3 linked regions of the Saccharomyces cerevisiae S288C genome follow. The gene in region 1 interacts genetically with each later gene. Each region holds a gene or a part of one and is shown on either strand. Other genes may lie near its edges. The genes, in order: FLO11, UGA3 and ECM7.

Region 1 (8,204 bases):
AACCAACAGCTACAGAAAGAACCGCCCTCACGGAGAATAAAGTCAATAGTAGCTTTTTTTTACGTACTTTCTATTTACATGCTATATAAGAGGATTATATCTTTGCGCCTTTGAGAAACTTTGAGGAACCGGCCTGAAAATGTTGTAGATTGAGCTTTTCTTGCTTAACGTAGTCGTTGAATTGCTTTAGGACGCCTGAGTCCAACCTACCATTGTCCTTCATCACAATGTCAACGAGGTTGCTATACGTACGAAGAACTTTACTCGACTCCATAGTAGCGAGAAACACCTCTGTCATATCAGATGCATCTTTTCCTGTGTCCAGGGAAAGACAATCCTTCAGGGAGAAGTTTAGGCCCGTTGTCGAGGATAGTATGGGGAATTTAAGTTTCCAGCCTTTATCCAAATGAAGACACATTAGCGGGTCGATGTCATTATCGAAGGCGGATCGCAGTAATCGCTTGGTGACAACCTCCTTTATAGTGGCACGTACCACCGGATCGTACATCTGATATTCTCGAGGTACAGAAATGGAAGGGTTTTCCTTTAATGAGACTCTTATGGGAGTCAATTCGCACCAGAAGGTGTCAATGAATTCAGGATTGCAGACAGCTGCAAGCAAACGAGCTTTTTCATTGGTAGAAGTTACGTACACTCCTTGGCATTTCGCGTATAGTAGGTGTTCTAGGATGTTTGATTGCAGTTTACAATTAAAATCCACCAGGTCTGATCGCTCTCTTTCTATAGAAACAAGATTCGTCATATTAGGAGATACACCAAGAATCGATATGATCTTTTCAGTTGCAAACAGTGTATCAACAGGTAGTAAACTGATATTCTGTCTTCTGTCAGTTGCAAATGTACTGTCAAAGGGTATTTTTTGCCAATCGACCAAGCTAGTGTTGAACTTATCATCAACGGTCATCTTGCAAAAAGAAAATGAGTCGTTTGTCAGGAAAACACTAAACAAGTTGACTTTGCCATCTTCAACGAGACGACCCCTCAACTGCTCGAAAATGCCACATCGAGAGACCAAAAAGGTTCTCAATGGCGCCTTTTTAGTGTCATACCATTCTTTTTTACTACCTAGGATCATCGACAATGATTTTAGAGTTTTAAAATTTGCTTTGCGGCAATACAAATCTATAGCCGGGATCACCGACCTTGTTATATTCTTCGGAGACATCTTTAGAGTAACCACAGATATTCAATACCAACCTATACTTCCATTGCTGCTTGTCTCACATCTAAACTTCGCCGTTTAGCGAGTTTTCATAATTTTTCACTTACCAGCACTTTTTCATTTTTCCCTTTTCCGTTGTTGAAACGGATCAAAGTTTGGAATAATAAGGATACAAAACGCCAAAAGAATGCGAACTTTCAAGCGTGGAAAAGTATCGAAAGACATTCATTCAAAAGATTCTAACGTGATTATCGTAAATAGCTGGAATTGTAGATATTTACAATGACATAGATCATTTTTCTTCGACGAAATTACGGCCTAATGTCGAGACAAGAATAATATGACGCTGATCTGTGTTTTGACAAGAATATGAATGATCTTAAGAAAAGGTTTCGCTGAATCAATTGGAAGACAGCGTCTTCAATTGTCCTACTAAATTCTTTACAGATGACATCTGGGTCTGGGGAGATCATGCAAAAAAATAAGACATCATTTATAACTTTCAACCTTCCGCTCACAGGACAAATTCTCGAAGACGCTACGGAAAGATGCTGAGCTTGATCATAATTCTTCAGGCTCCCAATTCAAGAATACAATTACTTAGCGTGGGTGCTTCTGCTCAGTCTTCGTTTCCTATCTCCACATACCAATCACTCGTTTGTTACTAATTCGAATAATTTACTGCTGTAAGGAGTCGTACCGCCAACTAAATCTGAATAACAATTTGGCTGCTAGAAGTTAAAAAGTAGGCGCTGCAATGATTATGTGGTATGATCAGATTGTGTCGCAACGCTCAGCGGGGTTTTGGCTCAATGGGACCGCTGCTAATAAAACGTTTAACTAGCGAATTTTGGAACACACCGGTTGACAAAAGTATAAGGAGTCTCTTTCCGTGAGTTCCCCTCTTCCTCTCACTGCACTTCAACTATGCCTTATAGCAACCAAGAAGCTAGAAAATGCCAACTATTAAAAAGATAACCTCTTTGGAAGCAAATAAAACGGAGATTATCTTGGGATCTATTTCACAAATTTACGGCTAATTGGAATGAACAGCGCCAAGTAGCACTGGTCAAACTGCAGAGAGTATTAGAACTTGCTTTATTCCGTATATCGTACTTTAGGTCGTCAGTTTTACCACTTCGGTACGCAAATGAAAATGAAAAGCTCATTCACAACTTAGACACAATTTCGCCGTTTACAAGTAGCTGAAAAGTCCATCTATCGAATTATGAATGATACTATTTTAAATATAGTCGTTGCTGCACTCGTTTTCCATGTTCTTTTTATCCACACATCCGATGTTTTACTTACAGTTGAGCATCTCAGGGCCAGCGACAAATATAAACATATTATACTCAAAATGAAGCTCGTTGAAAAGAGGATATTTCTTAACCTCTTTTACAGTGCTTTCAACACCTTTTCATCTGTGTGCCATGTCAGATTAAGGATGCTCAACTTTTCGAATTATTATTACAAATTTCAAAGAAATTACTAGTCCTTTTTGTCCCCTAATGTATCCCTCATTTCATACCGTCGTTTTGGGGTTCCAACTACGTATAGCTTTCAAGTGTGGTTTTACGGTAAGAACAACCCCCCATCGGTTAGTGCGGAATACTTTCCTATTCTCATCGAGAGCCGAGCCATACACCTAAGGTGGACAGAAAGCTAAAATTCCAAAACAGAAAAATCTAACATCTTTGCTCCCTTACAAGTAGGAACGCTAGCGTATCAACCCATCTCCAGATTTGCCCAGCATTTCTGTAGAACACCCAATGCGAATGAAGACTAATGAATATTGTAAAGACAAAAAATAGGAAAAGTTTAATTAGTGATGGTTCTCACCACCCCAAAACGGTCACTTGCATGCATTGAGGACATGCACCTGCAGTACTTGTTTTTCTCGAATGTTTTTTACCATCTCTTTTTTCCTTATCTGAGCTGCTGACGCAGACGGACATTGTTTCATATTTCGAAAGCTGTGCGGGAAAACGGACCCTAACACGAATGTGAATGCGCTAATCGGTATTTCCACCACATGAAACCTGCTACTTTTTCAGTCCTCTTCGTATGCATTTCCCAAAATTCATTCGTAGCCTTGTCAACTTAGACTCAGTTCCACGGCGTGCAGGACGGGGTATTATGAATAAAAGGATCCACGGGTGAGATTTGTTTTATGTTTTAGGTATGGAGTTTTGTACCACAAAACTTTAGGAATACCGGATTGTGTGCCTACGCCAGCCCCAGAGTATGTTCTCACAGCTGTAATTCCTAGTGATCTTTTCCTGACTCCAATAGGAACGCCGGTAGGCAAATTAAACTTTCGCGGCAGGAAAAAAAAGGCTTTTTCTTTTTTGCCTTTCAGTTTCTCGGAATGTGGCATTACATAAGCATAATCCTTTTTGGGTGTGCCTGGAAAGTTCAAATTAAGGTTTTTTTCTTCTGTTTTCTTAACAAGAAAATGTCGCCCAAAGAGTTTCGGCCGTTATTTTCCTATCGAGTGGGTCCTTTTTGTCTTTAGTCCTTCTCTGGGGCTAGCGATCACTGCAAAATTAGGCTTTACTGGTACGAGTTAACTTTTTTTCTTTTTTTTGTCATCCTTTTCTTTGGGGCTAAGAATGGACTTCCCTTTTCTTTTTCTTTGTTGCGACAGTGGCTTCAAAGAACTGCTGATTGCTCAAGGCAATCAGTCCGAGCGTTTAGAAGGTGATTGTAGGCAGAAATTAACTTTGCGGTAAAAGAATGACATTCTTTCTTAAAAGAAAAATTAGCTTTTTTTTGTCAGGCATTGCACAAACTTTTTTATTTCTGCCTATACTCTTAAACAGATCAGTCATTCATGTTGTCTTTTTAACGGTCGTACTGGGACATCGCATACCTTGGGATTCCGTAATTAGGTGCAACAATACGGGCACAACTCATTCTGCGGTATCTTCACGGACAGAACTTCTATTGCCTATCGGTGGTGTGATTAACAATTGGAAGCGCAGAGCTTGGAATGGATTTTCAATTCAATGGATTTGGAGGTATTCGTTTGTTTACTAATATTTACTTTGAGGACATTGCCCAACCCTAAAAGTGCCTGCTCAAGAATAGAATAACATTATGATACGTTTTCTTGACCGCTGAGCAATTTAAAGCAACTATTAGGGTACGATTGTTTCTAGAGAAATGTGGGTCATCTTTTTAGGTCCGTTCTCTTCTGATGAGGTAACCTTTACAAAAATGTCATAGAGTTACCAATTGGGATTCAAGGCATCATCGCAATATACTTCGTTCTTTTACGGAGAAATTAAGCTCTTTCTACTTTGAATTAACTGTTAGACTTGTCTTATCTGAGGAATGTCCGTGTTCGAATTAAATAAAAAATTAGGGCAGTTTTATTTACCTTAACAAATATGTTCAAGCATTTACGTTACTGCGCTCTCTTCTAGTTCAAGAACGGATAACTCATAGACTTACCAGTACAAATTGTTGAAGGGTTCCCAATTGATAAAAAGGATCTCTTGCTTCCTAAAATAAACGTATAAAAAGCACCCTATTCATCAGTTATTATCCCTCGTCATGTTGTGGTTCTAATTAAAATATACTTTTGTAGGCCTCAAAAATCCATATACGCACACTATGCAAAGACCATTTCTACTCGCTTATTTGGTCCTTTCGCTTCTATTTAACTCGGCTTTGGGTTTTCCAACTGCACTAGTTCCAAGAGGATCCTCCGAAGGAACTAGCTGTAATTCTATCGTTAATGGCTGTCCCAACTTAGACTTCAATTGGCACATGGACCAGCAAAATATCATGCAGTATACTTTGGATGTGACTTCCGTTTCTTGGGTTCAAGACAACACATACCAAATCACTATTCATGTCAAAGGTAAAGAAAATATTGACCTGAAGTATCTATGGTCTTTGAAAATCATTGGTGTCACTGGTCCAAAAGGTACCGTCCAACTATACGGTTACAACGAAAATACCTATTTGATTGACAACCCAACTGATTTCACAGCCACTTTTGAAGTTTATGCCACACAAGATGTCAACAGCTGTCAGGTGTGGATGCCTAACTTCCAAATTCAATTCGAGTATTTGCAAGGTAGTGCCGCTCAATATGCAAGCTCCTGGCAATGGGGAACTACATCTTTTGATTTGTCTACTGGTTGTAACAACTATGACAATCAAGGCCACTCTCAAACGGATTTCCCAGGCTTCTATTGGAACATAGATTGTGACAATAATTGTGGCGGTACGAAGTCATCTACCACTACATCTAGCACTTCCGAGTCATCTACCACTACATCTAGCACTTCCGAGTCATCTACCACTACATCTAGCACTTCCGAGTCATCTACCACTACATCTAGCACTTCCGAGTCATCTACATCATCATCAACCACCGCTCCTGCTACACCAACCACTACCTCATGCACTAAGGAAAAGCCTACACCCCCAACCACTACCTCATGCACAAAGGAAAAGCCTACACCTCCTCATCACGACACCACTCCATGTACAAAGAAGAAAACTACCACATCTAAGACATGCACTAAGAAGACTACTACTCCAGTACCAACCCCATCAAGCTCTACTACTGAAAGTTCTTCTGCTCCAGTACCAACTCCATCCAGCTCTACTACTGAAAGCTCTTCTGCTCCAGTAACCAGCTCTACCACTGAAAGCTCTTCTGCTCCAGTACCAACCCCATCAAGCTCTACTACTGAAAGCTCTTCTGCTCCAGTAACCAGCTCTACCACTGAAAGCTCTTCTGCTCCAGTAACCAGCTCTACCACTGAAAGCTCTTCTGCTCCAGTACCAACTCCATCCAGCTCTACTACTGAAAGCTCTTCTGCTCCAGTAACCAGCTCTACCACTGAAAGCTCTTCTGCTCCAGTAACCAGCTCTACCACTGAAAGCTCTTCTGCTCCAGTAACCAGCTCTACCACTGAAAGCTCTTCTGCTCCAGTAACCAGCTCTACCACTGAAAGCTCTTCTGCTCCAGTACCAACTCCATCCAGCTCTACTACTGAAAGCTCTTCTGCTCCAGTAACCAGCTCTACCACTGAAAGCTCTTCTGCTCCAGTACCAACTCCATCCAGCTCTACTACTGAAAGCTCTTCTGCTCCAGTAACCAGCTCTACCACTGAAAGCTCTTCTGCTCCAGTACCAACTCCATCCAGCTCTACTACTGAAAGCTCTTCTGCTCCAGCTCCAACCCCATCAAGCTCCACCACTGAAAGCTCTTCTGCTCCAGTAACCAGCTCTACCACTGAAAGCTCTTCTGCTCCAGTACCAACTCCATCCAGCTCTACTACTGAAAGCTCTTCTACTCCAGTAACCAGCTCCACCACTGAAAGCTCTTCTGCTCCAGTGCCAACTCCATCAAGCTCTACTACTGAAAGCTCTTCTGCTCCAGTACCAACTCCATCAAGCTCTACTACTGAAAGCTCTTCTGCTCCAGCTCCAACCCCATCAAGCTCTACTACTGAAAGCTCTTCTGCTCCAGTAACCAGCTCTACCACTGAAAGCTCTTCTGCTCCAGTACCAACTCCATCCAGCTCTACTACTGAAAGCTCTTCTGCTCCAGTACCAACCCCATCCAGCTCTACTACTGAAAGCTCTTCTGCTCCAGTACCAACTCCATCCAGCTCTACTACTGAAAGCTCTTCTGCTCCAGTAACCAGCTCTACCACTGAAAGCTCTTCTGCTCCAGTAACCAGCTCTACCACTGAAAGCTCTTCTGCTCCAGTACCAACTCCATCCAGCTCTACTACTGAAAGCTCTTCTGCTCCAGTACCAACTCCATCCAGCTCTACTACTGAAAGCTCTTCTGCTCCAGTACCAACTCCATCCAGCTCTACTACTGAAAGCTCTTCTGCTCCAGTAACCAGCTCTACCACTGAAAGCTCTTCTGCTCCAGTACCAACTCCATCCAGCTCTACTACTGAAAGCTCTTCTGCTCCAGTGCCAACTCCATCCAGCTCTACTACCGAAAGCTCTTCTGCTCCAGTACCAACCCCATCAAGCTCTACTACTGAAAGCTCTGTAGCACCAGTACCAACCCCATCTTCCTCTAGCAACATCACTTCCTCCGCTCCATCTTCAACCCCATTCAGCTCTAGCACTGAAAGCTCTTCTGTTCCAGTACCAACCCCATCAAGCTCTACTACTGAAAGCTCTTCTGCTCCAGTATCCAGCTCCACCACTGAAAGCTCTGTAGCACCAGTACCAACCCCATCTTCCTCTAGCAACATCACTTCCTCCGCTCCATCTTCAATTCCATTCAGCTCTACTACTGAAAGCTTTTCTACTGGCACTACTGTCACTCCATCATCATCCAAATACCCTGGCAGTCAAACAGAAACCTCTGTTTCTTCTACAACCGAAACTACCATTGTTCCAACTAAAACTACGACTTCTGTCACTACACCATCAACAACCACTATTACCACTACGGTTTGCTCTACAGGAACAAACTCTGCCGGTGAAACTACCTCTGGATGCTCTCCAAAGACCGTTACAACTACTGTTCCAACTACAACTACGACTTCTGTCACTACATCATCAACAACCACTATTACTACTACAGTTTGCTCTACAGGAACAAACTCTGCCGGTGAAACTACCTCTGGATGCTCTCCAAAGACCATTACAACTACTGTTCCATGTTCAACCAGTCCAAGCGAAACCGCCTCGGAATCAACAACCACTTCACCTACCACACCTGTAACTACAGTTGTCTCAACCACCGTCGTTACTACTGAGTATTCTACTAGTACAAAACCAGGTGGTGAAATTACAACTACATTTGTCACCAAAAACATTCCAACCACTTACCTAACCACAATTGCTCCAACTCCATCAGTCACTACGGTTACCAATTTCACCCCAACCACTATTACTACTACGGTTTGCTCTACAGGTACAAACTCTGCCGGTGAAACTACCTCTGGATGCTCTCCAAAGACTGTCACAACCACTGTTCCTTGTTCAACTGGTACTGGCGAATACACTACTGAAGCTACCACCC
Region 2 (4,908 bases), on another chromosome or scaffold:
TTTTTGAACAACCAATGAATTTTCGATAGGAATGACACCTACCTCTGAAGCACAGATAACTCTGTCATCACTAGTGATGTAATAACGACAAGGTCTTAAACCATTTCTATCCAATATAGCACCACAGTAACGTCCATCAGTGAAAGTTAACAAAGCTGGACCATCCCAAGGTTCCATCAGACATGCAGCCCAGTCGTACCATGCTTTTAGGTCAGAATCCATATCCTTATGATACGCTTCAGGAACCATCATCATAACAGCTTCAGGTAGAGATAATGTGCCATTAATAGTCAATAGTTCTAAAACGTTATCCAATGCAGCTGAATCAGAACCACCTTCTTCGATAATTGGGTATAGTTTGTCTAACTCATCTTTGAAAGTTGCTGAATTCATCACACCTTCTCTGGAGCGCATCCAATTCTTGTTACCTCTTAAGGTGTTAATTTCACCATTATGAGCTAGCCAACGTAAAGGTTGAGCTCTATCCCAAGAGGGGAAAGTATTAGTGGAAAATCTTGAATGGACCAACGCCATGTGGGATTTGAAATGCGCATTAGTCAAGTCGGGATAGTAGTTATACACTTGAGCTGGCGTCAATTGACCCTTGTAAACAATGGTGGTATTGTTTAGGGAACAAACATAGAACCAGTTTTCCAGTCCTATTTGAAGAGAGGCCTCCTTCCTTAAAAGATACAATTGAGTTCTAAATTTAGTTTCATTAAACTCCGGTTGTTTTTCATCATACAATGGAACCAATAATGGCTGTAGAATAGTAGGTTCACGAGATAATGCAACGTCTCCTAAAATAGTAGAATCTACGGGGACGTTTCTCCAACCTAATACGGATAAGTTGAAGGATGCAGCTAAATCCTCGAAAATCTTCTGACACTTAATTAAATTTTTCTTGTTATTTTTTTCGTTCTTCTTGAAGAAGACGTTACCTACGGCGTATTTGCCCATCTCAGGTATGTCTAGATCAAGATCTAACTTGAATTCTCTTTTCATAAATTCGTGAGGAATACCTAGCAGAATACCGGCACCGTCACCGTTCCCATCAGATGAGACGGCACCACGATGTGTCATATTCACTAAAAGATATCTAGCGTCAGTAACAATCTTGTGAGACTGTTCACCATGCTTATTTGCTACGAAACCGACACCACAAGCGTCATGTTCATAATCAGGGTCGTAAAGTCCTCGTTTGTCCGGAATCACATTTGCCCAAGATTTATGAAGATGGTGTTCATCGTTATAGTTTTGAATTGTCCCACCTTCGTAAGCTTCTTCCAATGGATCGAAATTGTCTGATTTCAACACTGGCATGCTTTCTTTTCTAATTCTTTTTCTAGTTCTTCAAAATAAATAAATGGCAAATAGATTAAGAAAAAAGAGAGAGTAGAAAGACAAAAATAAATAAAAAAAAACTGAAGCAGAAAAATAAATAAATAAGTTAAACGTTAATCACTACCTCAATGAGCTAAAAGAAGGGGAAGAAAGAGCAACTGAGAGTATCCGTCTGCGTAGTATAGGACTGAGATAGCAATTTCCTATCTTCCTATGATGTGGAGACGATTAGTTTGGTGTGTTATCAAGTAAGATATAAGAATTGATTAATTTGGTAAGAAATGAAACAATAGGACGAAAAATACAATAAGATAAGGAAGACCATCAGAACTTATGAATGACTAAGAAAAGCAGTTTATATTTTTTTTTTGGGCAATTTATTGCTTCTTTTTTTTACGTTTTGCGGGCATCACGTTCGTCGTGACATATGACTTGAAAAATGTGCAAAAGCTTATCGGAGCCAATCGGATTGACGCATTAAAACCGAAGTGTATTAGGACCAAATTTGCGCTGTATAGGGTTGAACGGTAGGGCTACCAGGGTCTGAGTCATCAAAGAAAAAGAAATTACAATAAGAGTCTTACTTAAGATGATATAGAATTGTTGTTATTGTTCATGTATGGATGCCAAGAAAACAAAGTTTTTTAAAGTGAGGTATGAATTATGGCGTGGAGAAGCTGAAATTGAAATATTCGAAGCATGGGTGTATTACTTGCAAGATCAGAAAGAAGAGATGCTCTGAAGATAAACCTGTGTGCCGGGACTGTCGTCGATTAAGTTTTCCCTGTATCTATATATCAGAATCTGTTGATAAGCAGTCTTTGAAAAAAATAAAGGCAGATATACAGCACCAGTTGATCAGCAAGAAAAGAAAGCATGCTCCTGACAGTGCTCAGAAAGCGGCCGTGGCCACCCGTACTCGACGGGTCGGTAGCGACGAACAGGATAACCAGGTATATTTGTCAAAACCGCTGGAAGATTGCATTTCTCAGAAGCTGGACTCTATGGGATTGCAGCTGTACAACTACTACAGGTCTCACCTTGCAAACATAATTTCCATCGCGCCCATGAACCAGAACTACTATCTGAACATTTTCTTGCCAATGGCCCACGAGAATGATGGTATATTGTTTGCTATTCTTGCTTGGTCAGCTAATCATTTGTCTATATCATCATCAAATGAGCTGCGAAAGGATGAAATATTTGTCAACTTGGCGAACAAGTATACATACATGTCGTTATCGCATCTAAAGACAAACGAGGGCTCAAGTGCCTGTGCTAAACTGGGGTTTCTATATTCACTAGCACAAATCCTAATCTTATGTGGTTCAGAGATATGTCAGGGTGATGTGAAATTTTGGAAGATATTATTGAATATAGGAAAAAATTTGATCGAAAACCATGTGGGCAAGGATGTCTCACGGATACTAACCACTACTACAGAAGAACCCTCCCTAGAGGAGAGGATAATCTTCCCCAATTTCAATTCCGTTGTTAAGTACTGGCTGATTGTGAATTTTATATATCATGATATTTTGAATTTCAATACAACGTCCTTCCCGATCGAACAATACGAGAAATTCTTCCAAAGGGATCAGAACTCTTTACCCAGCTCAGCCAACTTTATTGAGTCAATAGACTCGCCAATTGAGGAAATAGACCCTTTAATTGGCATCAACAAGCCTATTTTACTACTATTGGGACAAGTCACAAATTTGACGAGGTTTTTGCAGACTATGGAACAGGAAGAAATGCTAGAGCATGGCGATAAAATTTTGAGTTTGCAAGTCGAGATTTATAAATTACAACCTTCGCTTATGGCGCTGGAACATTTGGATGATGAAAAGAAATTTTACTATTTAGAACTATTCGAGATAATGAAAATTTCTACCTTAATGTTCTTTCAATTAACTTTATTAAAGATTGACAAAGATTCGCTGGAACTACAGATACTGAGAAACAAATTGGACTCGAAGCTAGACAAGGTCATCGGAACTTTTTTGGAAGGATCGTTATGCTTCCCACTTTTCATTTACGGTGTATGCATTCAGGTAGAAGATATGGAGAAAAAAATAGATTTGGAAGCCAAATTTGACGACATTTTAAAACGATATAAATGTTACAATTTCCAAAATGCTAGATTATTGATACGGAAAATTTGGCAAAACGAGGCTGATGGCATCAGTGAGCATGACCTGGTCCACATGATTGACGAATTAGATTACAATATTAATTTTGCCTGAGCAGCATATATTTTCTTTCCCCGCCCCCTGGGTGTCTTAAATTATTGTTTCACCACACAAACATATATATGTTCTTTTTTTTTTTTGTAGGACGTACGGATTCAAAAACAATTTATACCTATACAATGTAGAAATGCTAACGTTGAGACATAGAAGTAATTATTTAATTAACCATTTTAGGTGATTATTTTCAGGGGTGTCCGAGTCCACCTCTACAACATCCACCTGCCCGGTTTGATACCTGTAATCGCCTGTCTTGGAGTCCTCCACAAAGCTTATGCTTCTCTCAGATTTCCTGCGTGGCCTATCCATTATGGCTGCTCCTGCATACGACGTGCCAGTGCCGCCAATCATATCTATATCATGATTGCTTTCCCCGTCGCTTGTACTATCTTCATTCGAGTGGACGTCATGAGCCCATACAGATTTATACCGATTTGCTCTCGGAAATTCATGGCCATCTAGCACTTGTATTCTTTGGTAGTGATCACTATCATTATCCTCGTCACTCTCGTCCCTTTCACAAACGGGGCTTTCCCTTCTCTGCTTTGCAGTCCTTGTTAATTTAGTCTTAGACTTCATTTTAGCTCTTTTATTAGATTTTGTCTTTAATTTGCCCTTGATCTTCAAAATTAACTCATCAAAGTTGTCCTCGTGTGCATCATATACCACCTTATATGATTGTTGGTATTGTGTGGCGAATAAGTCCTGGTTCCAGGCAAAACCTTGACTTTGAGATACAGATATTTTAAAATTTGGCCTTATTTCTGCACTATATGTAAATACCGAACTGGTATTTGAGTATACAATAAGTTTCTCCTTATCCTCCATGACTCTTCAGTAGCGGTTATGAACACGATATAACTATCTGCATTTAACGCTGGTACTGATTTCAATTTATCCTTATCAAATGATACGCTCTTTCCCTTTAAAAAGCGCCCTTACCTCGTTCCGAACGGCGCTAGTAAGAATTTCATCAAATTGCCCTTCTTGTGGGGGGATGCTCATCACAGACTACTGAATATGCATCACAGAAAAGACAAAAAGAACCATTAACATGATTCTGCATATATTTGAATGATTAATCCATGGTATTGATTTAAGGCGGTAAGAAGGAAAATTTAAAATTTGGATATTACCATCTTCTTCTACACTCATATATATTCCTAATTTCCTTTGCATCAGGTCAATCGTGACAGTTGTTGCTTATAAATGCGATTATTTTCTGCGTAATATCCATAATTACTTCAAGAACCCCTTAGGTGACAACCGAAAGTCAGCAGTCACTTAATAGTATTTAGTGTCAGAATTTGTTGGCCTA
Region 3 (5,664 bases), on another chromosome or scaffold:
AAAATGCGGCTCTCTTGATTAATAGTCGTGCGATCTGACAAATTAGTGCATAATGTTCGTTTTCGAACCAAGCATTAGTACAGTCTTCTGCCAGCTGGCATACCAGTTCCCCATTGAACTCTACTGGGAAGTTTTTGGGGATTATGTTATATTGCAATAGAATATTTTTTAATGATAGGGGAAGCCATTTACCAGAAGTAACGCACTCTAGTGGCATTTCGTATGAGATTGCTCCATGAATGTCAAACGGTTGCAATGCAATGACATTTTTACCAATAAAGCCAATTTCAGAATTAATGAGAACATGTTTGAAATTTAATGTCTCCTTATTATAGCTTGACGGTAATGTTTCTCTCAGGGCATCTCTCTTGAAAGGTGGTAAATATCCGTATGGAACCTCAAAACATGCATTTGTACCAGTTCCTATTATTAATGAGATGGAATCGTTTTCGCATATAAATTTGCTTGTTAGTGAAACTGCAATTGCATCGTTTATTACATGACACACGTTCATGGTACAGAAAAATTCTTCGATATTTTCTGATATAATCCGGTGAAAGGAAGATTGGATGAGCTGTTTCACCGTGGATCCTTGAAGGGTGTCAGTCATCACAAATCCTTTTCCCATTGCAACTACCTCCCCTTCTGGATTTAGAGGAAAACTGAATGTCACGGAAACAAAAAATTTAGACGCCTCAGATGACTCGTTCTTTTTTTTTATATAACCATTTGCAGCCAGCCTGGTACATATTGTATAGATGATTTGATTAAAGAAATTCGAATCAACGATGTTGTAGGTAAGTTCGAAGGCATCATTGTATTCGATAACGATTTGGGGCAGAGAGATAATTGCAAATTTCAGTCTTGTCCCGCCGAAATCAATGGTCAGAATTTTGTCTTCAGGGTTCCATCGCGATCGTTTATCTGGGACTAAACACTGCGGGAGCATAGAAATCGTATTTGTCTGAAGCCGTGATAACAACTCCTCTTGGAATTGGTCAACTACATTCACTATGGAATCAGCGGGTAAAATCAAGCTTTCTAATTCCCGAGCTAGAGTGCTTTCAATTGTCATGTTCTGAACCTCCTTTTGTTAACTTTTTCTTTACTTGCTTATATGTGAAAGTTCGAGGGGTGGACGTTTATTTTTCTTTCTGGCTTACATTCTTGTGTTTATAATGATAACCGATATACTCAGTTAACTTCCCCGGTGTTCAGTATCCCTGAATAAAATTTTTTGCTATCTGGCGCTAACAATACCTGGCAAAAAAAAAAAAAACATATAAACAAAAAAAAAAAAAAAAAAAATTAACCCAACGAAGGGAACATGACTTCTTTTAGAGAGCCGAGTGATAAGGCCAGTTGTCGTAAAAGTAAATAAATAAAATCAAAAAAAGCAAATGTGAGAAATAGCTAACATTAGCAATATCGCAGATATATTTGAGTATGGCTCATCTATCATCTGTTAGTCTTTGAATAGTTTCCTTAATTTCATTTGCGGATCTTTCCATTTCAATATTTTTGTACTCTAAATGGCGCTCTTTCTTCTTCATCCACGTTTCAGCATTGAGAATGGAGTCACCACATCTTTCCACGTCTATTTGAAAAGCGGATTCACACCAAAGACGTTGTTGCTGTTATTAAATTTGCATTATTAGTAAAAGAACGTAGTAAAATTGAGATGGCACAGGATGCCTAGTTTCGACCTATACTTACTTTTGCTAGCCTTTCCATTTTTTCATATATTTCGTCCATGTCTTTTGTATATTGCTCAATAATGTTTACAGGAACAGTACAAAACAAATCCCAATCCATCTTTTCCTGTTGTTGTTTGGACATCATCCCATCTTGACTGGAGAGGTCTTTGTACGATTCCCGGATCAAATGAGTGATTTCATTAATTTTCTTGAGTACATCATTTTCCAGGATATGGTTTTGGAAGGTTTCCTGTGGATTGTTGATTTGCCATTCGGCGGCTAATTTGAAAAGACTTGGTATATTGTTGGTCACGTCCGGACTTTTTAATGAGTTGGTTCTTTCCAAGTTATTATCCTGGTCGTTCTCAGATGATTGCCTAGGGACTTCCGTAGTATCACTCATGGTTATAGTTCCGCTTTTCTCTTCTTCGTTGCTTAATGATGTTTAGTTCTGAAATAACGATTTTTTAAGCGCTTGGCAATTTCACAAGAAAAAGGTGAAAAAAGAAAAATAAGATTAAACGATGAATGCGATTTTTTGTTTCTGTTATTATTATTATATAATTAAAAACTAGACAAATATAGTATGCATATGCATTTTGAATGATGGGTGAAAGAATTCAAAACTGTAATGCTGACGAAGGCTTGATAACCCTTTGCATACTTTCTTCACTGTCGTTGCTTGACCGGAATCTTATGTCCTGCAATTCGAATTCCTCTCTAGTAGCAAATGGTTCGTGTTTGCCGCCATTGCTTATATTTGCGGTGGGATTTCCATGGTCTAAACTGGTGTTAGCATCATTTTCACTATTTAAGTCAACATCAGATGTTTTTCTTATTGTTGCCATAGTATCACTGTTTCTCATCAGTTCAGCCTCGCCCGAAGTAGACTGTCGTTGCGGATAACGTTGACTGTAAGAAGTTTCATCGTCTAGATCTGCATCAGTAAATACACCGGCTTGGTAGCCTAAGAATTTATCATCGATTCCACCTCCATAGGACGTGCCATTATCGGAAATACACCATTCTAAGCCAGACCAAGCTAAGCATGACACAGAAATCAAACCTGCAAAACACCACAGAAGCGCAAACCATGTAACTCCAAGATGGTAAGAAAACCCGAAGGCCTCTAATTCTGTATTAATTCTAGACTGAATAGTGTAGTTAACCCAGGCAAGGCTTATGCTACTTATCAGGCCCCCAATGAAAACAACTAGCGATAGTAGAGAGTTGATATGAACAAGTGCCCTTTCTTTGAGGGCGTTCATAAACCTTCCCTTTATGTAGTAGTACCATATCATGAAAAATAACATACACACCTGGAAACTAATAACTGCATAGAGTAAATGTAACACGTTGGCCTTTTTATGTTTTAAACTCCTCATGTAGGTCGTGTATGCAGAACTTTCTGCCTGTTGTGAACCGATTTTGTTGTATGCATAATCTAAAATGATATCTAAACCCAAGCTTTCTAAAACCTCACGATAATCAAAAAGATAGTCCGTTCCTATGCTACTGCAGGTACTCTTAGTAGTCGAATTCTTTACGCTATGCATATTTCCTTCAGAGTCGAATACTTCCACCATGGTATATGTTGAATCGCACCTCCCATAAAGCGACACTGTGATGTACTGAGGAACATTCTTTATCTGACTTTCGGTGTAAGCAGTCAATATATACAGTTCGGATGTTGTTAAGCCTACACCGTTATTTTCTTCTGTAGATGTCGACTGCTCCATAGACTCTCTCAACACGGTAAATAAACCCGTCGTAATATCAGCAGAGTAAGTATCCAGTCGTGACATGTACAATGTTCTTGGCGAAGAAAGGGGTCCGACAGTCAACGCCAACCCGAAAGAGATTATGAGTAATGTCGTCCCTAATCTTAGCCACTGTACCACTTTCTCAAGGGCTGTAAGGTTCTGGAATGGCCTGGCTATTGTATCTCGTATTCTTGACATCACCATTTATTTTCGATCCATTAGATATGCAAGGGTATTCGCAATGACTGATACACAAAGAAATGGTGTAAATGAAACTAAGTAGAGAGTTGACAGTGTTAAGCAAACAACGAATCCAGGGGAACAAAGTATTCGGGACGTTTGTTTATGCGGCGTCCAAAAGATGTATTTAAAGTTAACCATATTATGTATCAATCTAAATAAAGAAATAATTGTAAATTTTCATCGCATCAGTAATATGACCGCGAAAACGCTATTCTTTCCAAAAAAGTTAAAATGAACATAGTATGAAAAAGAAAAACACATAAGCAGCCCTTTCATCACCTTCCTTACAGGGGTTTAAGAAAGTTGTTTTGTTCTAACAATTGGATTAGCTAAAATGGCTAAAACATTGAAAGATTTGGACGGTTGGCAAGTTATCATTACAGATGATCAGGGGAGGGTTATTGACGACAACAATAGAAGAAGATCAAGAAAAAGAGGAGGAGAAAACGTATTTCTGAAAAGAATTTCTGATGGATTGAGTTTTGGGAAGGGTGAGAGCGTGATATTTAATGATAATGTGACGGAAACATATTCTGTCTACTTGATCCATGAGATCAGACTCAATACACTTAATAATGTTGTGGAGATTTGGGTTTTTTCTTACTTGAGATGGTTTGAACTCAAACCAAAACTGTACTACGAACAATTCAGGCCAGATCTAATAAAGGAAGATCATCCTTTAGAATTTTACAAAGATAAATTTTTCAACGAAGTAAATAAGAGCGAGTTATATTTAACTGCTGAGCTATCAGAGATTTGGCTTAAGGATTTCATTGCAGTTGGACAGATACTGCCAGAGTCACAATGGAATGATAGTAGTATCGATAAAATAGAGGATAGAGATTTTCTAGTACGTTATGCATGCGAACCTACTGCGGAAAAGTTTGTACCAATTGATATTTTTCAAATCATAAGAAGAGTAAAGGAAATGGAACCCAAACAATCTGATGAATACTTGAAAAGAGTATCTGTACCAGTGAGTGGGCAGAAGACAAATAGACAGGTGATGCATAAGATGGGAGTTGAAAGATCTTCAAAAAGACTAGCAAAGAAACCTTCAATGAAAAAAATTAAAATCGAGCCCTCTGCAGATGATGACGTAAATAATGGAAATATACCGTCTCAGCGAGGAACGTCAACAACTCATGGTTCAATTTCTCCCCAAGAAGAGTCTGTTTCCCCTAACATCTCATCGGCGTCCCCTTCTGCGCTCACATCACCTACAGATTCTTCGAAAATTTTACAAAAAAGATCTATATCAAAGGAACTAATTGTTTCAGAGGAAATACCAATAAACTCTTCAGAACAGGAATCCGATTATGAGCCAAACAATGAAACATCTGTGCTTTCAAGTAAACCTGGGTCAAAGCCAGAGAAGACATCTACAGAACTCGTTGACGGCCGAGAGAATTTTGTATATGCAAATAATCCAGAAGTGAGTGATGATGGTGGGCTTGAAGAGGAAACAGATGAAGTTAGTTCAGAAAGTTCTGATGAAGCAATAATACCAGTAAATAAAAGACGTGGCGCTCACGGAAGCGAATTGAGCAGTAAAATTAGAAAAATCCACATTCAAGAAACACAAGAATTTTCTAAAAATTACACTACAGAAACAGATAACGAAATGAACGGAAATGGAAAACCTGGAATTCCCAGGGGCAACACCAAAATTCATAGTATGAACGAAAATCCTACACCAGAAAAAGGTAATGCAAAGATGATTGATTTCGCTACTTTGTCAAAGTTGAAAAAAAAATATCAGATAATTTTAGACCGGTTTGCACCAGATAATCAAGTAACAGATTCCTCCCAATTGAACAAATTAACAGACGAACAGTCAAGCTTGGACGTTGCAGGCCTTGAGGATAAGTTTAGAAAAGCATGCTCTTCATCTGGAAGAGAAACCATTCTGTCAAATTTTAACGCTGATATAAATTTAGAGGAATCAATTAGAGAATCTT

Evidence for each region.
Region 2: of FLO11 (region 1) and UGA3, changing one suppresses a phenotype caused by changing the other (phenotypic suppression), as found in Saccharomyces cerevisiae (one study listed by BioGRID).
Region 3: mutations in FLO11 (region 1) and ECM7 together harm fitness more than expected from each alone (negative genetic interaction), as found in Saccharomyces cerevisiae (2 studies listed by BioGRID).

Annotation. Positions count from the first base shown.
Region 1 is NC_001141.2:390,276-398,479, reverse strand, and holds the start of FLO11 (Flo11p), read left to right. Parts: upstream 1-4,804; coding exon 4,805-8,204. Other genes in the region: MRS1 (Mrs1p), read right to left, coding at 95-1,186; YIR020C (uncharacterized protein), read left to right, coding at 3,923-4,225. UniProt on the Saccharomyces cerevisiae protein: Homophilic binding protein that enables kin discrimination in heterogeneous yeast populations by mediating homotypic cell-cell interactions during flocculation, a reversible and asexual process in which cells adhere to form aggregates (flocs).
Region 2 is NC_001136.10:154,318-159,225, forward strand, and holds UGA3 (Uga3p), read left to right. Parts: upstream 1-2,000; coding exon 2,001-3,587; downstream 3,588-4,908. Other genes in the region: GLT1 (glutamate synthase (NADH)), read right to left, coding at 1-1,323; UGX2 (Ugx2p), read right to left, coding at 3,747-4,418. UniProt on the Saccharomyces cerevisiae protein: GABA-dependent positive regulation of genes required for catabolism of GABA (UGA4, UGA1, and UGA2).
Region 3 is NC_001144.5:1,020,625-1,026,288, reverse strand, and holds ECM7 (Ecm7p), read right to left. Parts: upstream 3,665-5,664; coding exon 2,318-3,664; downstream 1-2,317. Other genes in the region: NGK1 (hexokinase), read right to left, coding at 1-1,075; GMC2 (Gmc2p), read right to left, coding at 1,452-1,634, 1,717-2,100; chromatin-silencing protein SIR3, read left to right, coding at 4,038-5,664. UniProt on the Saccharomyces cerevisiae protein: May be involved in cell wall organization and biogenesis.